Astyanax mexicanus: one gene and its partner. The protein of the gene in region 1 purifies or fractionates together with the protein of each later gene. This does not show direct contact. Links are inferred from orthologs where the notes say so. Each region holds a gene or a part of one and is shown on either strand. Other genes may lie near its edges. The genes, in order: katna1 and katnbl1.

The links.
Region 2: the proteins of katna1 (region 1) and katnbl1 purify together in Homo sapiens (affinity purification with mass spectrometry; 3 studies listed by BioGRID and IntAct, counting the BioPlex papers as one, with this or other methods). This does not show direct contact. The link is inferred for Astyanax mexicanus from reciprocal best matches to the Homo sapiens genes KATNA1 and KATNBL1.

What each region holds. Positions count from the first base shown.
Region 1 is NC_064408.1:47,387,014-47,403,640, forward strand, and holds the start of katna1 (katanin p60 ATPase-containing subunit A1), read right to left. Parts: upstream 7,573-16,627; 5' UTR 7,379-7,572; intron 7,340-7,378; exon of another isoform or gene 7,089-7,339; intron 5,303-7,088; 5' UTR 5,302-5,302; coding exon 5,140-5,301; intron 4,937-5,139; coding exon 4,794-4,936; intron 1,732-4,793; coding exon 1,551-1,731; intron 1,122-1,550; coding exon 1,006-1,121; intron 1-1,005. UniProt on the Homo sapiens protein: Catalytic subunit of a complex which severs microtubules in an ATP-dependent manner. Microtubule severing may promote rapid reorganization of cellular microtubule arrays and the release of microtubules from the centrosome following nucleation.
Region 2 is NC_064408.1:76,331,541-76,349,003, reverse strand, and holds katnbl1 (KATNB1-like protein 1), read left to right. Parts: upstream 1-9,936; 5' UTR 9,937-10,137; intron 10,138-12,054; exon of another isoform or gene 12,055-12,126; intron 12,127-12,824; 5' UTR 12,825-12,835; coding exon 12,836-12,952; intron 12,953-13,075; coding exon 13,076-13,113; intron 13,114-13,267; coding exon 13,268-13,538; intron 13,539-14,058; coding exon 14,059-14,174; intron 14,175-14,307; coding exon 14,308-14,358; intron 14,359-14,566; coding exon 14,567-14,656; intron 14,657-14,746; coding exon 14,747-14,851; intron 14,852-15,194; coding exon 15,195-15,288; intron 15,289-15,378; coding exon 15,379-15,411; 3' UTR 15,412-16,564; downstream 16,565-17,463.

The DNA of each region.
Region 1 (16,627 bases):
TCAGCCGTACTCAGCAGAGTTGGAGCAGCATAGCTGCAAGGCTTACAGCCAGTATTCAGACGGTTGGAATAAGATAGCAACACTGTGAGAATAAACTGTCAAAGAAAGACATCAAATGTTCCTTTTCCCAAAGATAATGGCACAAACTATGATTATGAACTAAAACACGGTCTAAATTAGTTCCTATCCTAACTGCTCTTCTGTGCTTATTTGTAGGAGCTGCAATAACAACAATACTGAACCAACTACACAGGGTAGCACAACATCCCCTTCCCAACAGCTGAGTAAGCATCCAAGTCAACTGCTTATCCATCACTATGCTATCTAACCAGTTATCTACATCAATCGATCGATCGATCGATCGATCGATCGATAGAAAAAAATATTCTGAATATTATTATTTTACAATTAATTACGAAACCACTTCTACGGACATTTCTTCCAAATTCCAATTTAGAGCATTTATTAGCATAAAATAAAAAATGGCAGAGCTTTCAGACCTCAAATAATGCAAAAAAAAGTTCATATTCATAAAGTTTTAAGAGTTCAGAAATCAATATTTGGTGCAATAAACCTGGTTTTAATCACAGTTTTCATGCATCTTAACATGTTCTCCACCAGTCTTACACACTGTTTTAAATAACTTTATGCCACTCCTGGTGCAAAACTCAAGCACTTCAGCTTGGTTTGCTGGCTTGTGATCATCCATCTTTCCCTTGATTACATTCCAAAGGTTTTCAATCATTCAACATTTACAAGTAGTCTTTTATTTTTTCCAGAGCTATATATTGCAATTTCAGTTTATTTACAGTATCCGATGTGCAGTCCTATTACTGACCACACAGCAAAAGCCTTGCTACTCCCTGGAAATGGAAACTACTTAAGCTCTGCAGTCATTAAGATTTTTTAAATGTGTTTTTAGAGCTGATGCAAGCATGTATGTGTGACATTCTTTAAGCAAACTCTAGATTTAAAATTGCCATAAATTGAAGGAGATGAACACACCACTTTACGTTTGGGTTCTGGGAGATGATGTCTCGCTCCAATGTCTCGATCAGATCTTTGTCTTCTCCGCCTCTGTCAAACTTTTTTACTTCTGTCTCTGAGGCAACCAGTTTGCTCTGCAGGTGTAGGAGTAGGTAAAAGTAGGTTAGTGCACTGTTATCTAGGGAAAATGCTTGCTTTAGTTCAATTTATTAAGTTATTTCTGCAGAGACACTTGAACAAACTTCAAAACTGTTACTTTAACAAACCCACAAATAGGTATATTTTATTTACCAAATTACTACTAACATTAAATAGAACAACTTTAGCCTGGGTTTCAGTATTAAATCTTTGTTTTAGCTCTCATCTGCCTTTATTTGCACAAATAGGGGAAACCGGTATCACAGGTCAAGTCAATACAGCCAAAGGCATTTTGCTCAGACAGAATGAAGTGTACGGTTACAATGTGTATTTGCAGGCCCTTTAAGAGTAGACCACAACAGACTTACACTTTAGTTAATACAGGGTCTTTTCCCCCAAATCCATTCATTCATGCCTATTCTTACCTTGTCTTCTTTGGGTTTGGACCCATTGTCTTTCTTCTCCTTGCCCTTTGGAGGTTTTGCTCGGTCTCCGTTTTGGACACGTGGTGACTGTCGGTGCTGAGAGCGAGGTCCAACACTTATTCGGTTGCCATGTGCTTTACCTTCTCTGTATGGCACTGGAGCCCGCCGAACCGCAGATGGCCTGAACACGATCACACACAATTTCACCCACTACTAACCTGAAGTACACAATCTCTGAAGTTACATTTGCCTTTGTCTCAAAGCAAACTTCAGACAGCACATTTGTCATTGTGGATCAACTTCAGGAAATATAAGAGGAAAATTTGTGATTTCTGGCCAAAATCATATTTTAATGGAATTCGGAACTGATTTAATCAGGTCTAAACTGATGTGCCTGTATTCACAATGAAGCATATTCAAACTAGATTACAGTCAAATTACTTTTAAATAACTTTAAATGGAAGAAAAGGAAAAAACAAAGCACAGCTGCCTGTGTGTAGGCCAAGTTCAGCCACGTGGATACTAATCCACTTCACATGACAGTTCTGCTGGAGGTCTAATCTCTGCAAAGACAGTTAAAGCAAAGTATCAAAGCTCAGAGTATCAAAACAAAAGAAGGCAAAGCCATTTACTGCACCAATAGCCCTTTATGTAATAAAAATCACTATCATTAATAATATGTATTTCCAGTATATAAACATAGGCTTGAAGATTCTTGACGTGTCACTCATATAATGTCATATAATGATTTATTGCATTGTTGCAATGTTTTGTAGTGCCAACTTCAGATGCTCTGGTTAGGGGGGTTGTTGGGGAGGGACAACAGACTGCATGTGTGACGTAACATAGGCATAAATGTTGACACATTATTCAAACATTTAATAGTCTGTGTATAACCTTATTGTCAAGTGACACATTTTAGATAACGTTTTCATTTTCATATTTACATTTTCTCCACTCTTGTAAAAAAAAAAGTGCACTTTTAATTTTTTTTCTACTGAGAGCTCTTCTTAAGATGGTGTCCTTGTGTAAAATAATGTAACTTTATGTTTCATAGAGATTTTTATAAACGTCAGGACATGTGGTCTTACTGTGAACTACAAATGAACAGAAGTCACATTACAGCAGTGTTTCTCAACCCTGATCCTGCATATTCTACTGCATATTAACACTGTTCTGCATATTCTACTGCATATTAACACTGTTCTGCATATTCTACTGCATATTAACACTGTTCTGTATATTCTACTGCATATTAACACTGTTCTCCATTTTCTACTGCATATTAACACTGTTCTCCATATTCTACTGCATATTAACACTGTTCTGTATATTCTACTGCATATTAACACTGTTCTGTATATTCTTCTGCATATTAACACTGTTCTGTATATTCTTCTGCATATTAACACTGTTCTGCAGATATTCTTATGATTTTAGCCGATCTGATTCAGGAGTTTAGGGTTAAGCAGTTTATCAGAGCTGTGTGTGGATGAAACTGGTGAAACCGGTGAAACTGCTCACTTACAAGAAGCTGCAGTTACTCATCCAACCACTAGTGGGAGCTGCAGCAGCAGCACAAGCCCCGCTCTCTTCACTCAGTCACAGCTACAGCCCAGCCACGGGCTACAGAGCTCAGCTCAGCCAGTCTGGAGCGTTTTTTTTTACACGTTTTTTTTAAGTTCATCTGTGTAGGAAAAGGTTTTAAAAACGGATAATACAGCTCTCTACAGTTCACCTATCAGCCAAAGCAGCTAACAGCAGCAGTTGTCACGGAGGCACTGCTCGGATTACATTATAAACAGGTCAGTTAGCGCGCTGCTAACCTCATGATGTTTATAACTACGGAGTTTAGTGGACACACCACGGCTGCAAGGTTAGACTGTTGAAGGCTACTGAAGACTATTAAAGGCTATTGGAGGTTATTGAAAGGGTTATTGGAGCAGAAATCAGTAAAGGCTGCTTAGATAAGTGATTCACCTCCTCGTCCTTTACTGCGGTGAAACTGCGACTAGCGCTGTCACAGTGATGTTTATTTAACGTCATTAAAACTGATTTTGTCAGGTATTGTCTTATAAATATTTACACAGAACTTATATCTCTCCTAAAAAGCATTTATTTTGGTCAGTAACATTCATGTTTATTTACTAGCAGCGTAAATTACCAGTGTTTGCTTTGGTGTGGATGTAATTAGGGGAATCTGTACCAGCCAGGTTTGCCAGGCACCTGTGTGGCATTAATGTGGCATTTGGCCCCGCCCAAGATCGGTATCGGCGCTCGGCCCATCGTGGTGAAAGACGACCGGCGATCGGAATCGGCCCCAAAAACACTGATCCGTTCAGGAGGTGTAAAAAAGGAGGTGAATAACTCCACTTAATTTTCACTGTGACAGCTGTCACTCTAGGTGAAAATCAAGATCAGGTGAAAATCTAGGTGAAATGAAGATCAGGTGGAAAACACAATTTTAGTTCAGTGATCAGGGTTAAGAAACTGCTTTAAACTACAAACATAAAGTACTGTACTAAATTCTGACTATCCACTACATCTGGCTTCTAGCTAATTAGCTATATTCATTTTCTCCTGTAATCCTAAACTAATAACGACAGTGAAATATGTGAAATAGTGATTAGCTGATCAGGTACAGGGCAAGTTGAACATTACATATATAGTTTATTTATTTTCTAAAACCTTGACTCCCTATCTAGCTAATTCCAAACTCAAGCTAACTCACTAACACAGCTGCAGTTTATTAATCACAGTGGGTTTAATCTGTGTGCTGATACAAGAAGTGTATTTTTAACCAGCTATCAGAAACATATCATCACAGTTTACGTGTTTAGCCTACCGTTATCTTTTTTTGAGAAAAATCTCCGTATATCCAGATCTGTTTTTAAATCAGCTGAAGCTGCTGCGTCCGATCCCGCTGCTAAATCTCACAGCAAGGGAGGGGCTTCCTCCGCGCGCCGCAAAAACAGCAAGCTGATTGGCTGTTTCTACTGAGAGGCGGGACTTAATACCTGAACCGGCTCTACTTATTTATTTATTTATTTTATTTATATATATATTTTTTTTATAGAGCCACGCTGCGCCGGAACGCTATCACCCCTGTAAATAAGCCATGTCACTGACTTAAAGTCATAGATAAAATGGCATGACTTCACTCAGCATTAGTGATATATCCATCACATAGCTGTCCTTAGTTTTCAAAATGATGAAAAATAACCTGTCATTCTATGGGTATACCTATGTTCCACCTGGGCAGGCATAAAATCATCCTCTTGGCTGAAACTGCTCGGCTTTGACGGGGCAGCCTCCAACTGGAAACTCTCCAGTGTCCTCATGATGTCCCTCACGTGCTTTCTTTCCTCGCTGATCTCTTGCCATACCTGAACACAGGACACAAACAAGCTCAAAACAATCAGACTATTTACACATCAAACCACTTGCCTCACCTTTATACTAATGTTTGCATGAATGTGGAACACAATGGCAGTTCAAACAGCAACTCTTGCCTCTGGGCAATTAGTAATGACAGTTCCAGTAACTCCAGGGGTTACCATACCAGTGTCCCGGGAGGCTGTAGTCTTACCTGTTGCCATTTCTGCTGTAAAGAAGAGTCTCGCACTGAATATAAGTATTTCTTGATCTGCTCCAGCACTCCCTCGTAGCAAACCACAGCCGAGCTGTAGTTACCCAGCAGGGCGTACTCTCTGGCCAGCTTTACATTCTCGCTGATCTCTACAAGACTCATTCTGGAAGAGGACACAGTGAAATTACCTCCCATAACCAGAACATAATAGCTAGTACTGAAAGAAACTCAAATCAAATAAAAAAGACAAATAGGTCAGTAAGGCTAGTCTCTCTGTAACTGCTGAACATTTCACAACTTAAACCATAAGAACTCAGACCCATTTATGATTACTGATCAGATAAATCCAGCAGGCAACCCATTCATGATTTTTTCCTATTGTGGGCACATGACTAAATATTTTTAAATAAAAATCCTGACAACACCAATTTTAAAACTGGCATTTTAACATCGTACTTTAGTAGTTGTACACTTTTAAAGTGAAAACTGTCCTGTGATCCTCTTAAGATTTCTGGTATGTTTCACTAAGATTTCATCAGTTAAAATGACAAATAAAGTGCTGTAAGAAATTTTACACTAAGGCTGTCAACATTAACGAGTTACCTGATGTAATTAACCTGTACGACAGCGTGTTAGGGCAACTCTTGATCTTTAATCCTGTAATATTACGACTTTAATCTCGAAGTGGACTGTTTTTATGTTTTTTTTTTTGAGTGGTTCAAATCTTGAATTATTATTTTTTATTTTTTAAACACAATTTAATCTTGTGACAATATTGACAGAGCCTGGTGACGCATAAGACATTAAACAGCAACGCGTACTGTTAAGTTCAGAAGGTATATTGCCTTTTATTTTTACTGAAGTGTATGCTTACACACATTTTCTCTTTTCAAGCTGTTAAAAAACTCTGTAACTCGACACATTATAATATTCTAGTTAAAGGGCATCAAAACTAACCTGAGAATTATATAATAATGTAAAGAAAAAGTGTAAACCACACTACACCATTATTACTAACCCTTTCCAAAAAATACAGTATCTTAAGTACCATCATGATTTTATCCATGATTTAGTCAAAGAATATTGTTGGGATTATTTTTTTTAAGAGCTTGGCACCAATACTACAAATGTGTTTCTATCACTGATTATTTTATACACATTTAAGGTAATTAAGGTACCCATTATCAAACGCATAGTCTTAAGGAAGAAAAAGTGTGATTAATCACATAATTCTATTGTGATTAACTGGATAATTGGACATTGAATAAAAAAAAACACCACTAATTTAAGTACACAGCTGTAGAAGGGTCTGTGACACACGTCTCGATGGCCTATTTTGGGTTAGTGTGTATTAACTCTTATTTTTATAAAACTGAGGTTTTTTTTTTTTTTACTTTTTATTTAGATTAGGTTAGCTACCGCTAGCTAGTAAGTTTACTAATTGGCAAACACGATAAATATCAATAAAAAAAGCTTAAATAAGATTAACTAATGCTAACTATGGGTAATTATCTAAGTTAACTAATGTTATGTGATTTTTTTTTCCAACAGACTCTACGGCTGGTAGCGTTAGCTAAACTTACCTAACAAACCCAGCTAAGCTAATCAACTAGCTAGCTAACCTAACTAACTAGCATAGCGATAGTTAGCTTAGCTAATAGTTTGAAGACTGTTAAACTGATGTAGCTAGCGTTTACTAATTAACTGAGCTAGTCAACAAGGTTAACTAACTTAATTTAGTTAAGTTAATTAGTAGCTAAGTTAACCTAGTTAACTAGCTACATTAGCATAACCTTTAGCATAGCAAACTATTATGGCTGCCAACATAAGTTAATGCTAATGCGACAAAAACACGTAGGTTAGTCAACCTAGTTACAGCCAGACTGCAAGAGAGTCAATACAAATAAACCAAACACAAAAACACGGTACAATACAATTCGCTCGCTTACCTTTCGGTTAACGAAGAGAAAGTTACTGTCTAAGTCTGTACTGACGGTAAAATAGCCCAGTAATTTAAGATTAACTTCACAAATTCAAGAAAATCCACGACAAACACCCAAAAACTGATAAAACTCCCCGTTTAACTCTCTTACAGCGCTATAGTTCTCTATTAGCTACACTAGTTGTAACACACCGGCTCCACTCAGACTGGAGCAGTCAATCGTTGGTTGAGCAGGTTATCAAAATCATGTAAGTTATATAAAGTTTAGTTCAGTATGATCGAGCTGAAATAACTCACTTGTCTCAGCGCTGAACAGAAGCAGCCTGTAAAAAAACAAACCACTGCGAACAATCCACCTCCAGCACGAACTTCAGCATCTGAGAGAGAGAGATTAGTCACTGAAGTTCAGAATAAATCTACAGACACTTGTTGGCAGAGTTTCGGAGGAAGGTAAACCCGGGAGAGAATCTCTGGAGAGGAGAAAACACACTGAGCTAAGAGTCTCTGCTGGAATTGTAGAGCCACCAGGGGGCGCTCACGAGTGAGACCAAAATTAATGGGTTTATATGGAGAAACGGAGCAAAATCAGAGTTTATAAATGTTTAAGTATTTGTATCATGAAAAATGTTCTCATTTCCCCAACACAGAACATTATCAAATGTTTCAGTACTGCAGAGATATTCTTTAAAGCGTTTAACATATTAACGTGCCTTGACCTGTATACGGGCTACAGGTGGAGATGATAGAAATCCCTTATTTTCTGCAGTAAAATAAGTTTTTTTTACACTCTGAAAATTTGAGGGCTTTGAAATCTCGTACAAGGCACTTGCAGAAGCTGCTGTTTTCTCTCTTCAGGATTTCAGCCAATTTTATGATTTTATTAATTGTATTTTGACATTAGCAGGTTTGCTTAAATATATTTTTTATATTTTCTATTACAATTACAATTCTGCTTTTCCGTAATGTTTCTTATCAAACATGAAAGCTTTTTATGTAATGCTTAAATAGAAATCCCCAAGATTTAGAGGTGTAATGTCAGGCAGACAATTGACAAAAATCCTGGCCTGTTAAAAGGGTAAAACTCCAGTTATTAAGCTTTTAAACTCAGAGATCTGACTGTAAATCCAGTATCAGTTCACCAACCACTCAGCGCACAATAGCAAAAATGAGCGCCTAAACTACCTAAAACCTGTTTACTGAAAAAAGTAAAATATGTTGGTATGTTTCTTTTCATTTATTTTTAGGAAAATACATTATTATACTTTTAACAATTAAAGGAATATTCAGAGAAAGTAGTTTTACTATTTTAATTAGTTTTATCCCTTTAGCTCCATTCAACCCCATCCAGTGTGGCCTCACTCGCGGGCTCCCTCTAGCGGTTCTTAGTAATGTTCTGATACAGCGGTAGAGATGGGAAGTGGACAGGCTCCCTATAAACCAGCTCTAAATCCGCCCCAGTTCACATCTACACCAGCAGGGTGAGTACAGCAGCTGCTGTTTGAATTATCTTCAAAATAAAAGTCTCTACACTGGGGCTGCGTCCAGTAACTTTTGTTACTCCTCCTCTCCTACCCCGAAAGAAGGTGAAGGAATAGAGGAGGAGGAGGAAGAATGGAGAGAAGTAGCAGTAATTGAGAAAATGGGACAGCTGATGCCTTTTAATAGAATGTTGACTACTTATTAACTGAGCCAATCACAGCGCTCATTTTCAACTCCCCTAACACTGCCCAGCCAATCTCAGCATATGATATATGGTCATCCTGTTAAATGTGGATGTGTAAACTCCAGTTCATTGCAGAGAAAATTCTATATTTCTGAAATTATGTGAAATATTTGCCAATCAAATAAAAGAGAAAGCCTTATTTTTTTATTTCTTAAATTTTATTTCATTTTATCTATTTTTTTATTTGTTCATAGATGATGATACATGTTCAACAATTACACAAGTGTTTTTAAGTATTATTTCGACACATACATATGTCAAAAAATAAATGAATTAATAAGTAATTAATTTGATTTAAAAATCTGTGCTCAGGTGCTTTGTGGGCGAGGCCTCAAAGATGTAAGAGAGTTTTTCCTTGCCACTGTTGTCACCACAATTCTTTTGGCATTTCTGTGGTGCTCGCTCATAAGAGGTGTGGACCTGTTTTTTTCTCTGTGAAGCTGCTTTGTGACAACTTCTATATAAATAAAACTGAATTGAATTGAAATTAAAGCCAACCCAAAATCTATAAAACATTTCCTGGGTAGCATACTGTGGTGTTATTGGCTTCTTTCTTCTCCTCTGGTATTTAGACAGGTGGCAAGATGGCATCATGAAATCAGTTTCTGGGTCACAGAGGAGAGGAGGGGGAACGGAAGTACAAAAGAGCAACTGTTTGGGGGGTTCTGGATGCAGCCTCAGACTCCTGAACACCGCTCTCACACATACATTTCATACAAAGTGTATTTGTACTCACCTACATTTTCGCTCATATGAACTTGTGTGACAACCCATTATTAATCCATAGGGTTTAATATGATGTTTCAGCTCTGCTGTTGATGTTTTAGGCTTCAACTCTCCTGGGAAGGCTTTCCACCAGTTTTAGGAGTGTGTGAAATTTTGATGTCAAGATATGTCAACCCCCCACCCCAGTGATCCCGGGGGCCCCACGCAATTGCGTGGTGGTAAAATCTGCCCCTGGGTGTAGCAGCATTAACACAGTTTAACACAATGGGTTATATGGGATTAAGTTAAATGTGTTTTTAACTAAGTTCTCTTTGTCTAATTTTGGGACATAAGTGAAAATCTTATGATGTTTTAGGTCTTATGTATGCATAAATTAAAAAAAAATCTAATCACTAAGGGTTAGTGATTTTCTGTTCAGTTCTCCTCAGAGAGGGCAGTTAGTTCATTAGTTGGATCAGCTGTGTGTAATATGCTGTTAGTGTTGCCAACTCCTCAGTAAGGAAAGTAGCTATTGGCTGTCCTAGTTGCAGGAAGTCGCTAAATGACGCCATCGCCTAATTTGCATAATATATGTTTTTGAAGCTGTAAAGGATTAACGTTGTGGGACAAAACAAATGAGTGAAACACCTTAAAATATGTTAGAAATGTTACACATGAACTCTAACAAATAAACAACTTCTGTTGCTTTTTTTTTAAATAGGCAGTCACATCTCAAAATAACTTAATTTTTACGTAAAAAAAAAAATATTTTTTTTGCCATGTTAAATGTTATTATAAGAGCAGCAGTTAGCCGAAACTGTTATTCTACTTAATTTTTTTTATTTTTTTTTATTCAGGGTTTTGTTTTATTTTTTTTTAAGTTTTCTTTATTTTTAAATGTATTCTAGACAAATTGTTCAATGATAAGCTATGTGGCTAGATGTTTAGGCAGACACTGTGGACGAGGTGAGTGACTAAGACTGTGTGTGTGTGTGTGTGTGTGACCACTTTTACAATTTACAGTTTTTTTTTGTTTTGTTTTTTTTTATAAAAATTAAGAATTTACTTTATTTCACTTTTATAAGTGCTACTGTAATGTAGGGCTGCAACCAATGATTATTTTGGTAGTCGACTAATCTGATGACCATTTTATCGATTAGTCAATTAGTCAACGATTATTTCTGCCATGTCCTCCATCTCTAAAAACAACAGAGAAACAGCTAAACATGAGATTTAAAAGGCATTTAAATGTCCACATGTTGTTTAAGCGTGGAGAGTACTGATATTTAGTTAATAAATATGTAATCTGTTGTGTTTGGGCACTTTTGGAAACACGGACCAAGTTCCTTTTGTCCCCAGTACGTTGTGTGATGCGGTTCTGTTACAAATGAATGATTAGACGACAATGACATTTGTAGTCTACAAATTTAAATAATCGATATTGTCGATTATATCGACTAATCGTTACAGACCTATTGTAATGTACCCTCGCCCAAATCTTTGTGGACGTCCATTCTAATGACTAAACGTCACAGATTGGGCATTCCAAGTTGCAAAAATTAATTTCAGGGAGGTACCCCCGGACCAATTTGGGATTATCTGTCTATATTATATATAATATAATATAGGGATTATCTATCTATAAAATATAAATCTTGGTTTTGTATGTGCTTCATGAATATGCACACAAGGGGAGCTCCTTTCTCTCCCTCTCCCTCTCTTTTAGACACAATACAAGAAGTGATACAAGAATAGACCACTGAAGTCGTGTTGTCATTTTGTAGTCTGCGCCAGGTTGGGGTTTCAGTGTCTAAGCGGTTCAGGTCAATGAAAAAAATGAATATTTTAAACACTGTGGTAAATAAATATGTTCAGAACCCTGTACGTTTTATTCTGTATATATGTACATCTTGAACAACACTGGATCCTCTGAATTTTGAGATTGTTTAGGGGTAATAATTAGAAAAATGCTAGCTTTAAGCTAATGCGTAACGTCACAGCACAGCGGCAGACAATGGCTGCAGGCTCAATTCTGCACTACACCAGCTAACTCCGGCCAGATTGCGTTTTGGATTAATATTTTTTCTTACACAGGATCATTAAAGTATTTAAACAGGTGAAAACTCTCTCAGTAATAGTGAGCAGTGTAATGTTAAGCAGTGTAGTCTGTGTTAGAGCTTTAAAAGGCAGATAATAAGCAGCGCTTCCTTGCAGATTTAATATTTAATTACGGTCATTGGTTTATTCTAATTACAACACACCTGACCCAAATAATCAACTAATCAACTAACTATCTGCCCTCGCTGAGGGGAGCTTTGTGATGCAGCAGTTACTTCAGAATCACAAAGCTAGAACCATAGAGTCTAAAATACTTAATGTTAAAAGGCTTAATGTGTGTGTTTTTCCACTGAAACCTATTATATAACCACAAATCCTAACAAGGATTAATGTGCTAAAACAACGAACCAGAAAGACTAAACATCTCTAATTTATTTCACAGCATAATAAAGACTGTAAATATTAAAACGTGGTACAGTGTTTAAAGCTGGTTCTGGGGTAATTCTGTGCTGTTGGGTTAGTGATTTTCTGCTGTGGCACTTTTAGCTCTCCTCAGTGAGGGCAGTTAGTTCATTAGTTGGATCAGCTGACTGTAACATGCTGTAAACATTCGTCCGGAGTTCACTGGTGTTGTGCCGAAGAGAGTCCCCTTCCGATCTCTGCAGCTGTGAGGTCAGTTCACGCCACTGTAGCATTAGCTTAAAGCTAGAATTTTCCTCTTTACGACTCTTAAACAATCTTGTTGGATGATAACCAGTCCATCGTATCTCACATCATCTTAAAAGTATTGGATGAACACCATCATTCCAGAGAACACAGTTCCACTGCTCCACAGCTTAATACTGGGGCTTTATACACTATTACAAGGGGTGTCCACTGAAGGGTGTGATTAGAGATAACCACACCTTCACACTCTTATTCTTAAATGTTTAATTAAATGTTGATTTATATTAACAGTTATTATTTTTACTGTTCACTTTATAATTCACTTAATAACCTTATGATCTTTGCTCTCTTTTTAACTGTCACAATGACACAAGGCTTTGGAGGTTGTTTTTACTTTTTCAGGAATCAGGAAGGTCAGAGTGTTTTCATCAACAATGAGAGCTGTGAGGAGAACGTGACCCTGAGTGGCTGAGAAGCTTCACTGCTGTTCTGGGACCAGTGCATATGAACTAGGAGACAACAAGCTCTCTGAGTGAAGTGCTGGGAACCTCTCCTCAGATAGCCAGCGCATGCCTGTTCTACACGACGTAAAGTCGCACACAGGCCAGAAGATCTTTCCATCCACTCTTTTCCTCTGTTTCATCTTCTCACAGACTTTAGGACACTTAAGGACTGTCTGCTGTGTTCATGAAAGACAGTGCTGAACAACATCATGATAAGAACTTGTTGCTCAGACAGGCTGGAGCGGATCACGTCATTAAAACTGGACAACAAACTGTTAACTGGACTCTGCTGACGTAATCATATTGATAAGTTCTGTCCAATCACGTCATTTGCATAAATGTATAACTGCTTGGATGAAGTCTGAGGAGTTCTCTCTGGCCCTCGACTGGCTTTAGTTTCTTTTCTCTCTCTTTCTCTCTCTTTCTTTTTTTCTCTCTCTCTCTCTCTCTCTCTCTGGGTTGTGAATGTGTTGATCTATCGAGGTTTTTGACTCGTTGATTTACTTTTACTCTTTACTAATATATATCTAGTAATTTTTGTTCCTTTTATATATCTGTAATGCTGAAACTATTTTTCAAGTAAACTTTAATATATTTTAAATTCTAAGCTCTGACTCATTGGTCATCATTTCATGTTCTGAGATTTCTCACATCCGAGTTTTATCTAAGTCGTGCTGTGGTAAATTACCCTACACCACAAACACTGCAATGTATTATTATTATTATTTATTATTATTTTTTTCAACACTGAGATTAGTACCCAGGTGAATAGCTGTTAAATTCTACTTTGTCTTGTGTCTAACATTTACAGATGTACTGTTATGTCTCTATTGTTCTTTTGCTGTGGGTGACATTTTCTGGTCAAACATTTTCTGGTGAGTTGAAAGCCAACCTCTCTTTTAGTTTTTATCATTATTAATGAATTATCCTTCTTAAAATTTTCCCGTTCCACTTTAAATGGTGCTGGAGGCTCTTGGTTATGTTGAGTGCATAAATAGCACAGAGGCACCAGTAGGCAACTGCTCCAACTTTGTTCTTTAACTACATATGTTAAATATTTACTATTAGGGTCACACATCATCCTATTTATTTATTTGTTTATTTATGTATTTATTGAAACACACCAGCTGGAGTTACTAGTTCTATTGTGTAAAGCTAAATACATGTATTTAGTTTTTTATAGTGTTTTTTTTGTGCTGTTTAAAAAAAAAAGATATTTTTCTGTTTTCTTTAGGCTGCTAATGTGAGGCTGCTTAGTGTCCAAGATTGATGTGATAAGTGAGGCCTCTTTACGGCTGCAAGAGAAAATCAAGATATTCTAAAGTTTAATATGGATTTTTAAAGCTAAATAACTAAAAAATTCCATTCTAATTTAGAAATGACTCTTTTTTAATTAGAAGAGAAAAGACTGTCTGCTTTTAAAGTTGATTAGCTAGTAAATCTGATTCACATGTGAAAGTAAGCCCAGTGTTTAATAACTTATTGATTTTTATTATTTATTTATTTATTTATTTTTTCAGAAGGAAAATCTAAAATGAAGTCATAAGCAGTTATTATACACATTCTGCTCCTGGAGTCTTCTCAAATAAAAAACAAATACATTTTTTTTTTTAAATTAAATTATTTTTTTTTTAAAAACAAATAAACAACTTCTGTTGCTTTTTTAAATAGGCAGTCACTTCTCAAAATAGCTTAATTTTTACATAAATTACATAAATCAGTTTTTTGCCTGTTGTTAAATGTTATTATAAGAGCAGCAGTTAGCCGGAACTGTTATTCGACGTTTTTTTTTTTTTTTTTTCCAGGGTTTTGTTTTATTTTATTTGTTTAAGTTTTCTTTATTTTTAAACGTATTAAAGACAAATTGTTCAATGATGAGCTATCTGGCTAGATGTTTAGGCAGACACTGTGGACGAGATGAGTGACAGGCTACGTGGTGACTGAGGTGAGTGACTGAGACTGTGTGTGTTTGTGTGTGTGAGAGAGACCACTTTTACAATTCACAGTTTTTTTTATTTTTTTTTTATAAAATTTACTTTATTTCACTTTTATAAGTACTATTGTAATGTAGGGCTGCAACCAACATTTTTTTTGGTAGTCGACTAATCTGATGATCATTTTTTCGATTAGTCAACGATTATTTCTGCCATGTCCTCCATCTCTAAAAACAACAGAGAAACAGCTAAACATGAGATTTAAAAGGCATTTAAATGTCCACATGTTGTTTAAGCGTGGAGAGTGCTGATATTTAGTTAATAAATATGTAATCTGTTGTGTTTGGGCACTTTTGGAGACACAGACCAAGTTCCTTTTGTCCCCAGTATGTTGTGTAATGCGGTTCTGTTACAACGTAATGATTAGACGACAATGACAATTGTAGTCTATAGGGGTGTCACGATTTCGATATTTTATGGAAATCGATCGAAATGATGTCATGGTCTCGAGCATCAAAAAGATGATCGACGATACCTTCCTCTAAGCTACGCAAGCACGCGCGCTAGCAAATGGCGCAGCACACGCCGGGGACATTGTGACTGCTGAAAGAGCAGCCCTTTCAAAAGAATGAGGACATTCTCATCTTCTTAAAGAAAAACTTATAAAATATAAAAATAACAGTTGTTTTGTCTAGACTCAAATATGTTAATAGTTTTGGTACCTTAAGGAGCATCTTTCTCTCAGATAAAGTTAATAATATATCTTTGTTAAGGAAAAAAAAAATTGTCATTCTCAGGTACCGAGTCTTATTTTTCATGTTTAACTGTTATTAGGATAGAGTTCAGTTTGTTAAGGCTCTAATTGTTCTATTATTTTGTACATGACTGTTCCTGTATTTTTGTATTTTAGCTAATGCTACAGCGGAGTGAACTGACCTCACAGCCGCAGAGATCGGCAGGGGACTCTCTTCGGCACAACACCAGTGAACTCCGGACGAATGTTTACAGCATGTTACAGTCAGCTGATCCAACTAATGAACTAACTGCCCTCACTGAGGAGAGCTAAAAGTGCCACAGCAGAAAATCACTAACCCAACAGCACAGAATTACCCCAGAACCAGCTTTAAACACTGTACCACGTTTTAATATTTACAGTCTTTATTATGCTGTGAAATAAATTAGAGATGTTTAGTCTTTCTGGTTCGTTGTTTTAGCACATTAATCCTTGTTAGGATTTGTGGTTATATAATAGGTTTCAGTGGAAAAACACACACATTAAGCCTTTTAACATTAAGTATTTTAGACTCTATGGTTCTAGCTTTGTGATTCTGAAGTAACTGCTGCATCACAAAGTTCGCCTCAGCGAGGGCAGATAGTTAGTTGTAGGGTGACCAAACGTCCGTATTTCCCAGGACATGTTCGTATTTCACGTCCTGTCCCGGGTTTTTTTTTTTTAAAAAGTGAGAAAATGTCCTGGTTTTTAAATTACTTTCATCGGACAGGCACTAGGGCACTGCGCGCAGCCGAAGCGCAAGTTTCTGTTTATCGACGATTTATAAAAGAGATGTTTCAATACTTGGTTGGAACAGTGTCTAGGAAACTGCAGGACGAATCAGTGGACAAATGTGTCAAAAGAAAAAAAAAAAGATGTAAAAACTCACGTTTGAGTTCATCACTGAAAAAGGAACTAACACTATGTAAGTTAAATGTAAAAACGTCTGTTACAAATTTGAATCTATAAAAACTATAAAATGAATTTGACTGAATTTGAATCAAGTAAAAGAATTTAGTTTGATCTGAACAGGCTCCTCTTCAGGCAACTGGGTTTGCTTTGAAAACGCAGGCTTTAGTAGTGAACACTTCTTTATGAGACAATGAATGAAAGCCAGCATTTAAGAATTCATCAACCACTCAACATCCATTTTGTCAATAAAAACTGACTAAAATAGCACTAAAT
Region 2 (17,463 bases), about 29 Mb from region 1:
ATGTTGATCAGCACTAGGTGTCTGTGAGCTGATGTACCGGAGCTACTGAACGCAATGTCATGTGACCGAAAAGTTAAAAAAAACTCACTTGTCCTCCCGTTTTTTCATTTGCACCCCATTGTTCTCCCTTTTGGCCAATTTGGAAGGTCAATTATCCAATGCCCATTTATATGAACTCCTCCTATCACTAGTAATGCCCCTAACACTAGGAGGGTTAAGACTAGCCTCATCTTGGACCCCATTTTGCTCTGTTATTTTTAATTACATTATGACATGAGGAAAGGAACACTATTCAACCTTCATTCTAAAGCTGTGAAATTTCCTAGTGAAGACTGTGAACAAGCCATACACTGAATGTGTGCATGTTGTGAGCATGTGCACCTTTGATAAACACTCCTGTGAAGCACTGGTCTATTACAGTTATTCTGGTAGGTTTACTAACCAAGTCAGTGACCTGTAAAGTTTCTGTGCAGCACAGGGATGGAAGTCTACATGGTGTTCAGCCACCATGGAATGCGTCCAGCCCTGGGCACGATGATGAATGGCCCCTCCAACTCCACTGTATCCTGTGCTGGCACATGAGAGGCAAGTCTGCAGTCAAGTTTCGTACGCCACCTCGGGTATCACCTTACCACCTGAATGAGCAGCCCGTCAGAGTCTGGAGACCCGGCACTGTCCCTGCCCCTGGCACACCCTATACACGGCAAAATGCTGGCTCACAAACAGCCAGCGACTGTTTCCCTACCTTCAGCATGTTTTCCATCTCTTCCTCTTCTAATTTGATCACACAGGGTTGCTTTGTCCACTCATAGCATGTATGCATTCAGTCAGGAAACATATACAGTATGGATTTATTCAAATGCAGCAGCCTGCAGTGTTGAGCTCATCCACTGAGCGAGCCTTTATTTTATTTTCTAAAAGAACACAATCCCAGCCTCCAAACGATTCTGTCAGAGAGCATTCCCATTAGCGAGTCAACATGACACAGACTAACACTTTAGTTTCTACAGCCCAAACTCTGAAGAGAGACGCCTCCTTGATTAAACACCAAATGTTCTGTACTTAAAATTAAATTAATTACTTGTTTTTTCATAAATACAATGGATAACACATTCAGTGTTCTTTGGCAGTAAACCTCCACAGCACGATCTTAAAATCCGCCCAAACATCTGTCATATGCTTTTCATTTAATTAAATTACAACTTGAAGGTTTTTAGCAAGTGAGATTTTTTAAAACGTTCTCATACACAGTTATAAAAAAGAGTTCTGTGATTTCATTAAATTATTGGTCTATCCCTATATGATAATTATGTCAGAGCAAAAAACTTGACCCTTAACATCCATCCTGAGTGATTACATTATAATTGTCTAGTAAAAAATTACAGGTGTGTACAATATACAGAGTGTATCAAGGATCATAACCAAAACTTCATAATCTGATCAATCAAACACCTTTCAGGGGTAGTCAGTTATGCATACGACCACAGTCTTAAGGTCAAATTACAGTGCTGTAAAAAGTATTTGCCCCCTACAGATTTCTGTTGTTTTTGATTTTTATCATATCATACTTACATACATCAGATTAACAAACACATTTTAATATCAGAGAAATATAACCTGATTTAATATATAAAAACAGTTTTTAAATGATAATTTAATTTAGTAAGGGAAATAATCTATCCAAACCAACCTGGCCCTGTATGAAAAATATTTTCCTAAACCTTCCTAAAAAAGTTGGTTGTGCCCCCTTTGGCAGCAACAACTGCAATCAAGCGTTTGTGATAACTGGCAATGAGTAACTGGTAATCTCTGTGTAGACATTTTGGGCCATTCATCTTTACAGAATTGTTTTAATTCAGCCACAATGGCTTTTCAAGCATGAACTGTCTGTTTAAGTTCATCCACAGCATCTCAATCAGATTTTGACTAGGCCACTCCAAAACCTTCATTTGTTTGTTTGTTTTTTAGCCTTTCCAAGGTGGACCTGCTGGTGTGCTTTAGATCATTGTCCTGCTACAGAACCCAAGTACGCCTGAACTTTAGGTCACAAACAGATTGTCGGACATTATCCTTTAGGAATTTCTGGTAGAGAGCAAAATTAATGGTTCCATCAATTACAGCAAGTTGTCCAGAGTTGTCCTTTCTCTGAAATTATGTGTTTGTTTGATGCCAGATGTAACGGGACACACACCTTCCAAAAGGTTCCACTTTTGAGTATGGCAAGTAAGTATGACCAAAAAGCAAAACAAAAAAAATCCCCACATCACACCAAAGGGTGATGTTGCTCAGCACAAGGCTTCAAACACAGAAGAATAAATGGGCACAACGGTGTAGGTTACTTAAGTGTGAGGCAGCCTGCAGTGTGACTGTCAAAGTGCCAAAAATTCTTCCAGACAGCAAATCACCAGCCATATTAACCTTTTTACTACCAGAACAGACGCTACGACCGCAAGACCACACTGTCTACCATTTACACAAGTTGGCAGAGCAGATTACAGTAACTGATGGCAAACTGGTAGCTGCTTTGCAGGTGAAACTTTGAACTGAGGACTCTCTTACCGAAACCGGCAGGAATTTAATAGAAGTAAAATATTGCATTTATTGACTGGAAGAATATGGACCCCTAGACACAGCTGGGTGGCCCTACACCTTTGAAACATGATCTACTCCAGTGTTCTCCAGTCAACTGTACCTTCATTTAATACTCACCAGGATGCTTCTCAACACGTGTTACATACCTGCGAATGAGGTCCTTCACTGTGTTGAGTTTAAGGTCTACAGGTAAGAGTCTTGTGTTTTTAGCGCACAGACTTCCTGAACCAGACCTGCTCACTCCAGACCCTGGGGACAGATACAGATCTCCTCTGAATACAACCACTCTTCATAAGTCCCCTCTGCGGCAACGTCCAAAACAAATGGCTGGGCTGCCTAAAATCAAAACACTACCTACTCGCCAGACAGGACACGAGGTGAAGCAAATAGCCTTGGTATTTCCTGTCAATTACATGTCCTAAGTTATTGACAAAAACTGCATTTGTGGGACCAAGGCATACAAAATAAATATATTTTATTGTATAATTTTGTATAACTTGATCTCTCGACTAGGAAGAAGTTAAGGCTCCTACTGTTAAGGACCTGGATTATTTTACACTAATGCACAGAGATGTCACATAGTTTAAAGAAATATTTTAACTATGGGACAAAATAGCAGAATATGACTGTAAACTGATTGGTTCAGTCTTTGGTTAATATTAGCTGAGACCACATTATTTTTAAGTTTAAACATTATGAGTTCCTGAGTAGATATCTAACAAAACAGTGACTAAGAGCTAAAAATGCAGGATGTCAGTTTGATTTGAGGATGTTTTACATCTACATTAACTGAACCATATGTGAACCAATTATCCAACCCACTTATAGGGGTGATGCCCCAACACCAGGAGGGTAAGGACTAGCTCATGCCTCCTCCGATACATGTGAATTCAGCCACCACCTCTGCTGATGCAGGATTGCTGAGTAGCATCACAGCACGCTCGGAGGAAAGCGCAACGACTCTGTCCCGATACATCAGCTCACAGACTCCTTGTGCTGCAGACATCACCCTTTAGAGTCCTGTGGGAAGAGAGAGAGCGCCATCTACCCACCCAGAGAGAGAGCAAGGACAATTATGCTCTCTCAGGGCTTCGGTAGCCGATGGCAAGCTACATGAACAGGATTCGAACAATCTGCCCTCTTTTTACAACTGAAAGTCTAGCTCAGTGAGTCTAAAGCAAGCTGTGATCGCTACTGTGACGTGAGGTGACGGGGGAACTGTGGGTCCACTCCATGCTAGGACACAGAACCGGTCCCAGCTGGGCCTCGTTGGACCCTTAACCCTCACTCAGGAGAGGCACTGGTAGTGAAAGGAAAGCTGAGGCAACCCAGACCCACAAACACTAGTAAAGTGAATTTATTTGAGTTTGCTTTGGGTGTGGTGGAGGGCGTTTTAGAAATAAACATACATTTCCCCAAAATTAAGGGTGTATGTATGTAAAGGAATCATATGTGTTTTATTTAATATAGATATGTTACCCTGAAGTTAAAATTCATTGAGGCACAATATCAAAAACAGGTTCACATAGGTTCAGAATTGCACTGATTATAGGTAGGTCTGCTTTTTAACATAGAGGTCAGAAGTTTTTGAAGACAAATATGGTCGGTGGTTAGGGTTAAAATGTTTATGTAACATATAATTAGTTGAACTCTTGATGCAATCCTTATTCATAACCCCTTCATATTGGATGAGGATTTTGAGGATACATTTTAATTTAAACAAATGTACTGAATGACCTGAGAGTGGATCATACAGAGAACATTGAATAAGACTGTGTAACCTAAGCACAGTTATATCTGTCTACAGGCTCCTAAACAGTAGCTATAATCCGTGGGGGAGGCTCTGGCAGTCTCACAGCTCAGTAAAAGCTCAGTGAAAGTTCAGTAAAAGCTCACAGTGGGAGCTGCAGAACTGCAGAGCTCCTTCATGGTCACAACAGACTCTACAGCTTTACACTACCATCTTGTGGTGAAGAACATTGTGGCCTGATCCAATACTAACATTTCCGGTTCTTATTTCTTTGTCTAATCCGTCTTAACAAACCTCAGAAAATATAAACATGTATATTGTGATCTGCACAACAAAGGGCTTAGGTTTCAAAGTGTCAGCAGGATGTTGTGTTTTTTTCCACATTGCCCAACACTGCAACACTACAACAAAGGATCAGCTGCTTGTACTAAATACCACCTACTTAGCCGAGTGACACCTCAAAATACATCACAGATGTTGTGTAAATTGTCTTATCCTGAGCTGAACTCCATCCATTTCATTCAACACTGCCTTATTGTTCCAAACACTGCTCCAGAAACATGGTGAGGAACAAAAGAAGAAACTGCAAGCAATGGTACACAAAAATGGCCATTTATAAAAAGCCATCAGAAATAACATCTGGCATTTGAAGCTGTTTACTATTCTGAATTGCATTCAAGCAGTTGGTTGACTGGTGCAACTGACAGCTGTGTACTAAAAGCTCTATTTAAATGGCCCCTCTTTCTAAACAAGTTTAAACAGTATAGTTTGTAGGCATTGAGAGCCCTGCTGCACAAGAGTAAGAGACGGGCAAGTTTCCCAGACATGGATTAAGTGTATTTTTGGGCTAAAGTGCAGTATCATTGGGGAATCTCCACTGGAAATTCTCCTCAGTCTGGGATTAGACTTAATCTGGGTCTTAATGTCCAAAAGACTGTAGACACCAGCATGTCCAACATTTTTTCTGAAAGCAAGGGTATCAATTGTTCCCTCTTTGCTGCAATAACAGCTGTATACATCTGATAAAGTCCTACATAGATGTTGGAAAGTTGCTGTAAGTATTTGCTTGTGTTCAGCCACAAAATGTTATTACTGAGGTCAGGTACTAATGTTGGATGATCAGTGATTCTGAATCACAAACACCACTTTGACACATCCCAAATTCATTGGACAGAAGTCCATCAATACTGAGGGCTTTTTATCCCTTTTAACATTGGGCATTATGACCTTGAACTTTAATAGTCATCATAATTCTAAATGAATAAAAATGGGCTTGTGTTTTGCATTTTAAAATACTGCATGCAAATGTCTGCCCTGCCAGCAAGACATTTCTAATGGGGATTATATAAAATGTGTGTGTGTATGTTTGTGTGTGCATTTGAGCTTCTTGTCATTTAAATAAACTTAAATGACTGATTAGAAGGGGTGCCTTGATACTTTTGTCATAGAGCGTATTTGTAAAAGCACAATAAATCACTGATAGAAAATGTTGTTTTTTTTTGTCTGCACTGTCTGTCCCAGTGATATAATTATTCTTAATTTCCCAGTAGTATTCAGTAGTGGGAAAAAGCAATGGTCCATGAAACTTGTGCCGAAGAGAAACACATGCACAAATCACTGTGCCCCTTTCATTTGTTTTTAATGGCAATAGTTGTTTCCCTTTGAATCCTCAGGCATTGCTGAAACGCTATGGTGCGACTAAACTCCTCTATGGCTTTGAGGCGTATCATAGGAGACCGCTCTGTGGTCAAAGGCGAAATAGAAGCTATGGCCCTAAGCCTCAGCAGTGGCAGCCTGCCCTCGAAAAGAACAGAGCAGCACTTGTGAGAAGAATCACTTCAAACAGTCTTACGTAATGCAAACACAATTACTGATATTAAGCTCTGATGTCTGGAAGTACAGCCAAGAGCAACATGCCTTTTCACTCTGTCCCCAGGACTGCAGCGTGCAAGCGGCCTCCGTAATCACCAGGGCAAAAAGCAGGATACGGGATTAAGGGGAAGAGATGACTGCTCTCAGTGAGTCCAGCACATTGTAGTAACATAATCTCTTCATCCATGTTAGCTAGCTGCTTCGCCTCTCAGAAGGTCCTGGTTCGATGGGTTATTAACATTTACATAAAGGTCATTTTCAGAATGCTGTGCCTTTTGGTCCTCAAAGCTTTCGCAATATGTTTTTATTTTTAATGTTTTGACTATTAATTATATTTCTCTTTTTTCCCCACATGGACATGAATCAGCTAAGAACACTGACAAACCACACAAATCTGAGAGAAAGGCCGGCACCTAACAGTAGAGTTAGAAACCGGTTGCTTCTGTCTGAAACACCAGTTGACTAATCCTGCTTTAGAGTGAGGATAGGACCGCCTACCTAATAAACACACAAACGAAATAAAGAAATAAATAAATGATGAAATGTGGGGGGAAAATAAATAAATAAATGTTAAAATGTTGAACTAAATAAATGAATTAATAAATAAAGAAATGCAGAAACAAATAAATGTAGAAAAACATCAATCAAAAATAGTATAAATAAATGCAGAAATGTAGAAACAGACCCAAATAAAGGTTCATGCATGAAAATATGGAAATAGATTCCTGTTATAACGAATTTTAGGTTTTAGGTGTGTACTTTTTCATGACAAAATGTGTGTTTTAATTAATGTATTTATCTATACAATTATTTGTGTATTTATTTATCTATTTTTTTTATTTATTCATTGATGTATAAATTTTCTTTAATACAATTTTATTTCTAATCCTTCCCCATTTTCTCCCCAATTTTGCTCAGTTAATTACCCAACCCACTCATTATGACTCCCCCTATCACTAGTGATGCCCCAGCACACCAGGAGGGTGAAGACTAGCACATGCTTCCTCCGATACATGTGAAGTCAGCTACCTATCCTCTTTTCGAGCTGCTGCTGATGCAGCATTGTGGAGTAGTATCACAGTGCACTCGGAGAAAAGTGCAGCGACTCGGTTCAGGTACATCAGTTTACAGATGCCTTGTGCTGCAGAAATTACCCTTTACTAATGTGGGGAGAGAGCACCATCTACCCACCCGGAGGGAGCAAGACCAATTGTTCTCTCTCAGGGCTCCAGCAGCTGATGGCAAGCTACATGAATAGGAGTATTGATTTATTAATTTAAATGTGCATTTATTTATTTATACTCATGTCAGTTCCTGTCCACCATAATACTTGAGAGTTTACATGTTCATAAAAATACTGCATGTTCATGAGATTAAATATGTTTGGTTGTTTTTTTTTGATTGAATTTATCTCTTACCAATCATTGTAAATGTAAAATTATTGTGGGACAAAGCCCCTTATTCTCACTAAGGATTTTAAGTGATTTGAACTTGCCATTCAGTCAAGTTATTCTGATTCCTGTGTCCAAATGTATGATATAAAAACAGGGAATATACTTGTCTTATTTTAAAGATTTTGAGATTGCTTATTTTAGGAAATCTTATTAATAAAAATGTGCTTATTCAACTGGGAGATTTTGTGTAATATAAGCATATACATCTTGAGTTTTATATACATTTTATATTTTTGCTTATTCATTTTTTGCTGTGTTGAAATACTGAGTTGCTCCCATCCTGCCACAAAATGCCAACCAGCACAGATAATAGAAATCCTCAGTTACGCATCATTTAAAAACTTTACCCACAGACTGTCAATCATTTAATACTGTTATTTAAAATAAAAAAAATATGTTTAGCATAAACATCAAATCTGCTATTAATCTTTCATGAAGTCAAACAGACCTAAAATGTCTAAAATTCAAATTAAATTCAAAGTCAGTTTCTGTTATATAACAGTGATCTAAACCACTACAATTTGAAAGCCTAGCATGTTTGTTCTGCAGCTGGATCTTTGTGATTAGGATCAAATTCTAATTCTCAGTAGGGTCTAGGCTATGGTTAAACAGCCCCACTGAACAGTGGTGAGTGAATTTTTGTGGCTGTCTGAATAGGAGGCCTAATGTAGGCTTTTTCATCCAGATTCCAGTGTCAGCTCACTTACTGTTAAATATTTTAAGGTTCTTAGCAATGTCAGATTTTATGAGCAATGACATTTAACAAAACAATTCATAATATAAAGAGCTTCAGTGTAAGGTTTGCCTTGGAGTAAAACATTCAAATGAAGTGTGTCCACAAAGTCTGTCTGTACAGAAAGTTTTAAATTAAATGATAATTTACTTGGGAGTATTCTATGTTATTTTGGACAAGACCAGCTGGTCGTTTAGTAAAAACATACCCTATGCTGATTGGCTAGCTAGTGTTTTTTTGGATGACCAAAGCTCTGGCACAGAGGACTGAGACTTATACAAACAGTCCTTAGGTTTCCTTAAGTCTCTGAGAAGATGAAGCAGAAGATAAGTGTAAATGGTAAGGTCATCTGGCCTGCATGTGTACAACTTTACGTTGTGTATACCTCTTCTGAGAAGAGGTTTCCAACACTTCACTTAGTGTCTGACTCACTTCAGATAGCTTGTTGTCTCCTAGTTCATATACACTGGTCCCAGAACAGCAGTGTAGCAGTGAAGCTTCTCTGACACTCAGGGTCATGTTCTCCTCATTACTCATTGTTAATGAGAACACTCTGACCTTCCTGATTCCTATAAAAGTACAAACCACCTCCAAGGCCAAGTTCATAAAGATTATATATATATATATATATATATATATATATATATATATATATATATATATATATATATATACATATGTAAAACAACAATAAGAATAAGTGTGAAGGTGTGAAGGTGTGGTCATTTCCACTCACCCAATTCAACCATTTCTAAGGTCATCTGATTCACCAGCAGTGATCTAAATGTCTATGATACCGTCTATGATACTGAAAAGAAGTTTGTCTTCAACAAGTTTCTTGTTCTTTCTCTATTCCACAAAAAAATTGAAATTGAAAACCTCTGGAATATATTCAAGAGGAAGATGGATGATCACAAACCATCAAACCAAGCTGAACTGCTTTGCACCAGGGGTGGCATAAAGTTATCCAAAAGCAGTGTGTAAGACTGGTGGAGGAGACCATGCCAAAATGCATGAAAACTGTGATTAAAAAACAGGGTTAATACACCAAATATTCATTTCTGGACTCTTAAAACTCATTTTAGCCATTCCTCATTTTCTGCAAATAAATGCTCTAAATGCCAATATTTTTATCTGAAATTTGGGAGAAATGTTGTCCGTAGTTTATAGAATAAAACAACAATGTTTGTTTTACTCAAACATATATCCTATAAATAGCAAATCAGAGAAACTAATTCAGAAACTGAAGTGGTCTGTTTATATTTTCCAGAGCTGTATAACCTTAAATGACACCTTTTCACCTTATTATTATTACTACAGTATTTTTTTCTTTTATTATTTTTTTGTGATTTTCAATACTTTTTCCATTGTATATTATCAAATAAAGACGAACAATAAATCTAGCAACAGGAAATGTCACATCAGAAATAGAATTTCTAGTCAAGTGCATGGAGATAAAGACGACGCTAAAATTTCAGGCTCTTCCACGTTTCGCCGGTGAAGGTCGCCAAACTCCAGCCTGCTCCTGGTTTTGAGTCCGCCAGAGACTCCCCTCAATCCCACAATCCCAGCAGCCAAAGTTTGTATTTATTTGAATGGTGCTGGCTTCGCCCAGTTCGTGAATGTGCATTAAAATCTAGCTGTCATCCTTTCTGGTGTTTCATCCACAGATTATCACCGTGTTATATTGCCGTAGGAAGCTGAAGAAACTGAGCTTAACTGACAAAAATGCCATGGTAAGGAGAACTTCGTTATGATCAGACTTGAAGGGACTAAGCAGCCATATGTTATTGTGTAACTACGGTACCACAGGTTAGTTAGTTAGCTGTTATCGTTGGCTAGCTGCATAGAGAAGTAGTGAAGAGTTGTTATTTAGTTGATTTCGTGGGTGTCTCGGCTGGGGTAGATTAAAATGAATTAGCTGAAATAATGCTGTGTCTTTTGTCTGTATGAGCTAGGTAGCTAGGTTAGGTTGGCTAACGCTAGCTAGCTAGCTAACTAACTACTTGGCTGACTCTGAACGTGATAGCTGCTAATTAGCAAGGTAGCTAAACTGGCTAGCTAGCTAGCGTTAGCTAATAGAACGGTGGGCGGCCGTCCACAAGTTTTAACTAACGTTACCGTAACAACGTTAAAGTGCCGGTTTTCACTCAATTACGTTCAGGTTACCTGTTATTAGCAGTTTTATATTCGGTCCAGACTGACAAAATCTGTTTGCTCATGGCGGCTAAACATGTAACGTTACCGCTAGGTTATTTAGCTGGGTTAGCACGCCGAGGAGCTAACGTTAGTTCTGTTTTAGACACAGGAGGAATCCACTCCAGAATTTCGTTCCAACTGCCTTGATTGGGTTCGCTGCAGTTTGCAGCCAGCCATGCAGTTGGGACTAAATCCTGGAGTGGATTTATACATTCGGGGCATGGATTTCCCATTTCTGAGTTTTGGAAACTCCTCCTTTAGGGATTGCTTAAACCTAGCTAGTTTAGCTAGCGTTAGCTACCTAGCTAAGCCATTGCTGCGTGCAGGATTTAACTGTCTTGCTAAAACGTATGGTTAGCTTACATTGACAAAGCTGATTCACAAAATTGGGTATTTTAACGTTAATTAGATACATTACATATTCCTGACGCGTATCCGTGTTGGCTAATTATAGCTAATACTTATGTAAGATACCGCTAGCTAACCTAACTTAAGTAAAGTGTATCTAGCTTTAGCATATACGTCTTAATCCGTTATTAATAAAGTGGTTTGTAAAGTCCTGGGCTGGTTTTCCCAAAAGGTTCTTAGCACTAAGATAATTCTTAGATGGACGAGCAAGCTTCACACTGAGCCCTCTCTCTCCATGTTAAGATTTTCTTAATGCAATAAGATGCTTTTGGAAGACTGGGCCCTTGCCGCTAGCTACATGTTGTCAAACTGATTGGGACTGCTTCCCGTACGTGACTTAAGATAAGTCAGATACTACCTAGTTTGTTGTGTTGGATCTCTGATGGAATACAGAATTGTTTAAAGTTGTAGTTATTGGAATAAATGTATTATATTGTCTTTAAAAAACAAATTACATTACCTCAAATGGTTATGGATATAAATTTATATGTCATACTTGGACCAAATTACAGTGCAATTTTCCAATTAAATTTGGGCTTGAAATGCGTTATTAAAGGCAGATAGTGCTAATAACACTTAATTAAAGGATAACTCGGGTGTAAAATTGACTTTTGATGTAGTAAAACATGATAAAGAGTACTAACCTTTGTTGAATAGCCCACCTCCGGTCTCCAACAGCTTCCTGAGATCCAGCAATTTTTATTCAGTTTGTCCACAAATGCTTTAGAATGGATTGTATGGGGCATATTTTGACCCGATAAATTGCTTTTTACACCGTTATCCAGGCTCAGATTAGCTCCACACCTCATTGGTAGAATCTAAGGAGCTTTGACATTTATATCGAGGCATTAATAACTTCAAAAGTGCACAAGAAACTTATTAAAACCACTGTTTAGAACCTGTAGCGTTAGCTACAACCTTGGGTGCCCAGAGATTAGGTTATGCTGTGAGATGTAAACAGGGGTTTTTAATAAGTTTCTGGTGCACTTTTGAAGTTATTAATGCCTCGATTTAAATGTCAAAGCTCCTTAGATTCTACCAATGAGGTGTGGAAACTGCTAAAAAATGACTGGATCTCAGAAAGCTGCGGGAGAACGAACATGGGCTAGTCAACAAAGGTTAGTACTCTATCATTTTTTACTACACCCAAAGTCAATTTTACACTAGAGGTATCCTTTAAATCTACAGCCCTTTTACCCTTATTAACATTACAGGTTGAAACAGAAGGCACACATCGGATCACTGACTGATTGTGATAGTAAATAAAAAACTCTTTGTAGCAGTCACAGCTGTTGTTCTCATCGTGAATAAGAAATGAATCTATGCTTATAGTATTAAAACCATCTTAAAGAAGAAATCTGGTGTGAAATTGACTAAGAGCATTCCAGTGCTCTTAGCTGATGCTCCCAACAGGTTTCCAAAGCTAGCGGGGGCATAGCATTTCACACTTCATTGGTTGAATTCTAAGGGCCCTGACATTTAAAATGAGGCACTAAGAAATTTGAAAGTGCACTGGCATTTTGTTTTAAAAATAATATATAAATAAAATAAAATAAATAAATAAAAAAGACACACAGTGTACACACAAGGTATACACACAGAACCTTGAGGTAGTTCTCCGGGTGCCACCATCTTGACATTACAAATACTAGAGTGTAGGCAACGTGCTCACTCGAAACAAAAGTATAAATCATTCTTTTTACATAAGATTGAGCCATAAAACTCATGGTATTTTTACTTCATGTCTGGACCACAATGCCTTATGAAAAAACTGTAGTTGCCATGCATTGAGTACATTTTTGTCATTGTTCTTTAGAATTCTTGATTATGGCCACTGGAAATCATGTTGGGAATGATGCAGAATTCCACAGGCTCATGCAGGCCCAGTCCTTTGATCTTTTCAAACACCAAAACTGTCTTGGAGATGGAAAGAACATGAGGGAGGTGAGTTCACACATTTTGACATCCCTGAACTGCAAGTTTTATGACGGGAAATGTTGGCTAAAAGCAGTGAAAGCTACTTTTGCCGACTCGAGGAATACTAGTATGCCTATCCTCTCTTTTTAGGTGGATTATTTAAATAAGGAAGAAATAAATAAAGAAAGGTGAGTTTTGAGCCATGGCAATAAGGGCATGATGATCTGTTTATCTCAATGTTGGGATGAATTGATGAGCCATAACCCAGTTTCTAAATTGAAAGAAGCAAAATGATGAAAACATTGTCACTAAGCATTAAAGAGGGTTCTGCTTTGTTGACAGATTTCCAGTGGGACGTTGTGCACACAACTACGGCAAAGCAAAGCGAGTGGTGAGCAAGAAGACACGTCTCTCAGCAGTGGGCTCTGGTGTACGCCGGAGAGCACCCTCAGCAGGCAGGTCCTCTGACATGGCAAACAAAGAAAATGAACTGACATGTGCCGAGGACATTGATGGCATTCACTATAAGGAAAACTGTGGGTTCCCTGTGAACTTGACAGAAGCCTCTAAAATGGCAGGAGCTGGCTCCAAGTATAGTGACTGCTTTACTGAGGTGAGTTCCTTTTGAATAAACTAAGGGAAGCTGCAGATCAACAAGTGATAAATTATAGTACTAAACTTTTTTTTTTTTTTTTTTTTTTTTTTGGAAACACAACATAACAGATAGCTTGCTTAAAATCTGTCTATCTAAAAGTATAAAAATCAATTTTTAATTACTCAGGAACATAGAAGTATTTAATTATAGAAAGTAGAGATGTGACAAGATCTCGTTCAGTGAAATACAATATTTTCATTTATACATTTCAGTTTTAAAATAAAGTGTATATAAAGATTTTTAAAATCTCATCTCATCTTATTCTCATGAACTCGTGTGAATATCGTGTCCCATCTTGTGAGATGAGTCTTATCACATCCCTAATAGAAAAATATTTAAATTGGTGATCTATTGTGCACTACAGATGCAGAAGAATGAGATTGAAAATTACTGCAGTATTCCTTTAGTAGGCTTGATCCTATTGACAGACATTAATGTTTTGATGTCTATGCTAATAACATTTTTCTTTCCCTTAAAGTTATCAAAGGATCATGATGCAGTGACTCATGTGCTGTTTGGAAGGAATCTCAGATTAAATGTTGCTTTAACTCTTTGGCGAAGAAATGCTAGTGAACTTGTGGCTTACTTGATCAGGTAAAGATTTTACAGACTGTTTAGTCATCTTTCACCTTTGATAAAAAAAAAAAAAAGGATTTTTGCATTTGTGTTGTATTAGGTGTATTTGCAATAGAATTTGTAAGTTGTTTTTTTATGTATTATTGTACAGAATACAAGACACTGGGGTCCTTGTTGATTGTCTACCTGTACTTACAAAAAGGTAAGTTAAACAAACTGTGAAAACCATAAAGTACCCCCCCCCCCCCCCCTCGCCCTCTGTGTGTATATATTTAGTATTACGCATTCAGAAATAAAATTAATAATTTTTGCTGCACTGCATTGAATAGTTAAGATAGTAGAATAACAGTTTACTTCTGAATCGTATTAACAGTATTCTATATTTTTCTTTTTTTTTTTTTTTTTTTTAGCCTTCAAGACGAACAGCAATGTATATCCATTGGTTGTTGTGTAGACCTTTTTCCACAAGTGAAGACAATTCTTCTCAGTAAATTTGAAGCGTAAGTTATTTTTTATTGTGAAAATCAGTTCCAAGTGGAAGTACCCATATTTAATTATTTTTTTGTTATAATTTGTTTATTTTCATGTAGGCACCTCATTGTGGCTTTACACTGGGTTCAGTCTGTCATTAAAAAATGGTGGCCTGAACTATACTCAGATGGCAAACGCTTGCAAGATGGCTGTTCAAGTGACAGGTATTATCTCTATTAACAAAATCTTTACAAAAGCAGTTTATTAGGAACAACTATGTATGTGCCAATTTGTGCAGTGATCTTGTCAGCCAAATTAATGGCAAAAGTGCATAATGCAGTTATGTTATAATAGATCAGAATCTCAAAGATGATTTTCCAAAATCTTGTGGAAACCGTGCCATTAAGAAATTAAGTTAAGTTAAATTAAGTCTTGAGAGACTTAAGGTGTTACCATGTGTACTTGTATAGTGTTCCTAAAAAAGTGCTCATACAATTCAGTACAGTACAATACTATGTTTTATTGTGTTTACAAATTTAAGTTTGTACAAAACATTTTGGATTTCAGAAATATTCAAGCTATGAGAAGGCAGCTGCTTGACTTATGGGATGAGGAGAGTCGATTGGCCTCAGTCCCTGGAACCGTGGGTGAAATAACCAAGGTTTGGTGCACCTTATTTATATTTTTAGCATATGTTATGGAAGTATTATTGGGTCTCTTATTCATGTTTTCCTTCTCTCTTTCTCTCTAGGCTATTGAATCATATCTGTCACAATTACGCTGAAGTAACAATGTAGCACACTGAGGAACCAACCACTACATGCACTTGCTGCAGTTTTCTGGGCTGCTCCTTGAGGAACTGCAGCCAAATGAACTGATGATTTCTATTACTCCAGAGGAGGAAGCTGTTGTGAATGGGATGATAGATGAACTAAACAATTCAGACACTCCCTACATCAAAACTGGAGACATTTCTTAAAAGGTGAAACCCTTCCTGCAAACTTTGAACGACTGCTTCACATTGAAGTGGACTTTATTAATTACTGGCACACTTTCAACTCCATGAGACTGTATGGAATCAGGCAACTCACAGAAGTGCCAATCGGAGGTTTTAGCTGACACACTGGTAGTGCCACGGTGTGCGTCTACTGAAGTGGATGTGATGATGTAATGTATCGTGTCTCTGAGCATATGGTGCACCGACTTTGATTGAAGAATTCCAAGTCCAGCAGTCTTAAGTTATTAGGTCTTTCACTCTCTTTTGCCTGTTCATGATTGAAATATTTGTATGTGTGCGTGCATAAGTAATGGTGATTTTTCTTTTAATCAGCTTTTAAATAAATTTACAAAATCTGCCAACAATGCTTATTATTATTATAAAACCTTACATTTTGAGAGAGGGAGTTTTTACAAGCCAAAACCGAACATTTGCCAAATTCCTTTCTTTACCTTCTTTATCCCTGGTTACATGGCTTTTTGCTTTAATAACAGCACCAGTTGTGTAAGGTCAGTCTCTAGAGGTCCTGTACATTTGACCCACTCTTCCTTTAACAGAGTGCTTCATCAAAGCTTGTTTCCAGCTAGAGAATAGTAGGTTTTTCAGCATGAACCCAGAACCAATGTTATTGTGGTCAATAAGCACTGTCAGTGACTGGTTCAGTATACATAATGAAAACAAGGCAGATTGGCTGACTGATAAAACCACCAGACCTCAATCTCAATTCTCAGACTGAACATAAGATGAAATGGAGAAAGGTAGCTGCAAATAAACCTTAGCTGAAATGTGTACCACATTTTACACTGGTTAAATGGCTAGGGTCTGAAACCACATACAATATTTTTTTCTGAGGAGATTGTACAACTATATGCTGCAGGTGTATTCTTGATGGAATAGAAGGTGGATTATAATATAATTAAATACCTTGGCTTACACTTTATATGCTGGTATGCATCTTCTAAACAAGGTAGAAAGTTATATTTAGAGAGCGAATCTGTTCTCTCAGTTAATCAATCTATTCCCTCAAATTGTTCCAGAAAATTAAGTTGTTTAAATTGCTCTGCATTCACAGCAGTAAGGATTTTATCTGGTCTCACAGTACACACCAAGTCCCAGCAGTGGCTGTACTTCTTTATAAGGCTGATGAAATTTGGCATGCTAGTAAAGTGTTACTTAGTTAACTTGTAGTGTGGATGTGTAGTCACCTAGGTGATGCAGTTCTCTCTCTCGCTCATTTTTGTTGTTTTAGCACGGCCACTTTTATTTTCATGTCATGACCAAGCTGGCTACAGTAAATGCCCAGTACTTTGCCCAGTAAATTTGGGTATTACCCCAGAACGGGTGGAAGGGGTAAGAGCTACGGTGGAAACTAGCTCTCCTGAGCATCACAACCATGGTCGAGAGGCAGTTATCAGAATAAAGGAACATGTCATTGCTTAATTGCTGGAATTTACAATGGTTGCTGTTGGCTGCAACCACACCAAAATAACAACAAGCTAAAACTAGTGCTACCTAGCTTCAAAAACACAACGTCAAATTTGTAGAAACATTTGAAGTCGCAGTGGCACACTTAAAAAACAAGTCCGAAAGGTGGAAAAAAGCTTCCAGTAAAGTGAGTTTTGGCAAAACTGCTTTGTTAAGGCAGCAGGTGTTTGTGCGTGAGGGTGGGGGGTGTTGTCAGTAGCTGTTCAAAGTCACTTTTAAAATTAAGTAATCCATAAAGTAACTTAGTGTTTTTTTTTTAAAGAAGTAATCAGTAAAGTTAATCAGATTACTTTTTAAAAGTAACTATGGCTACATTCACAAGCCTTATTGTTAAAATCCAATTTTTTGCTGTGA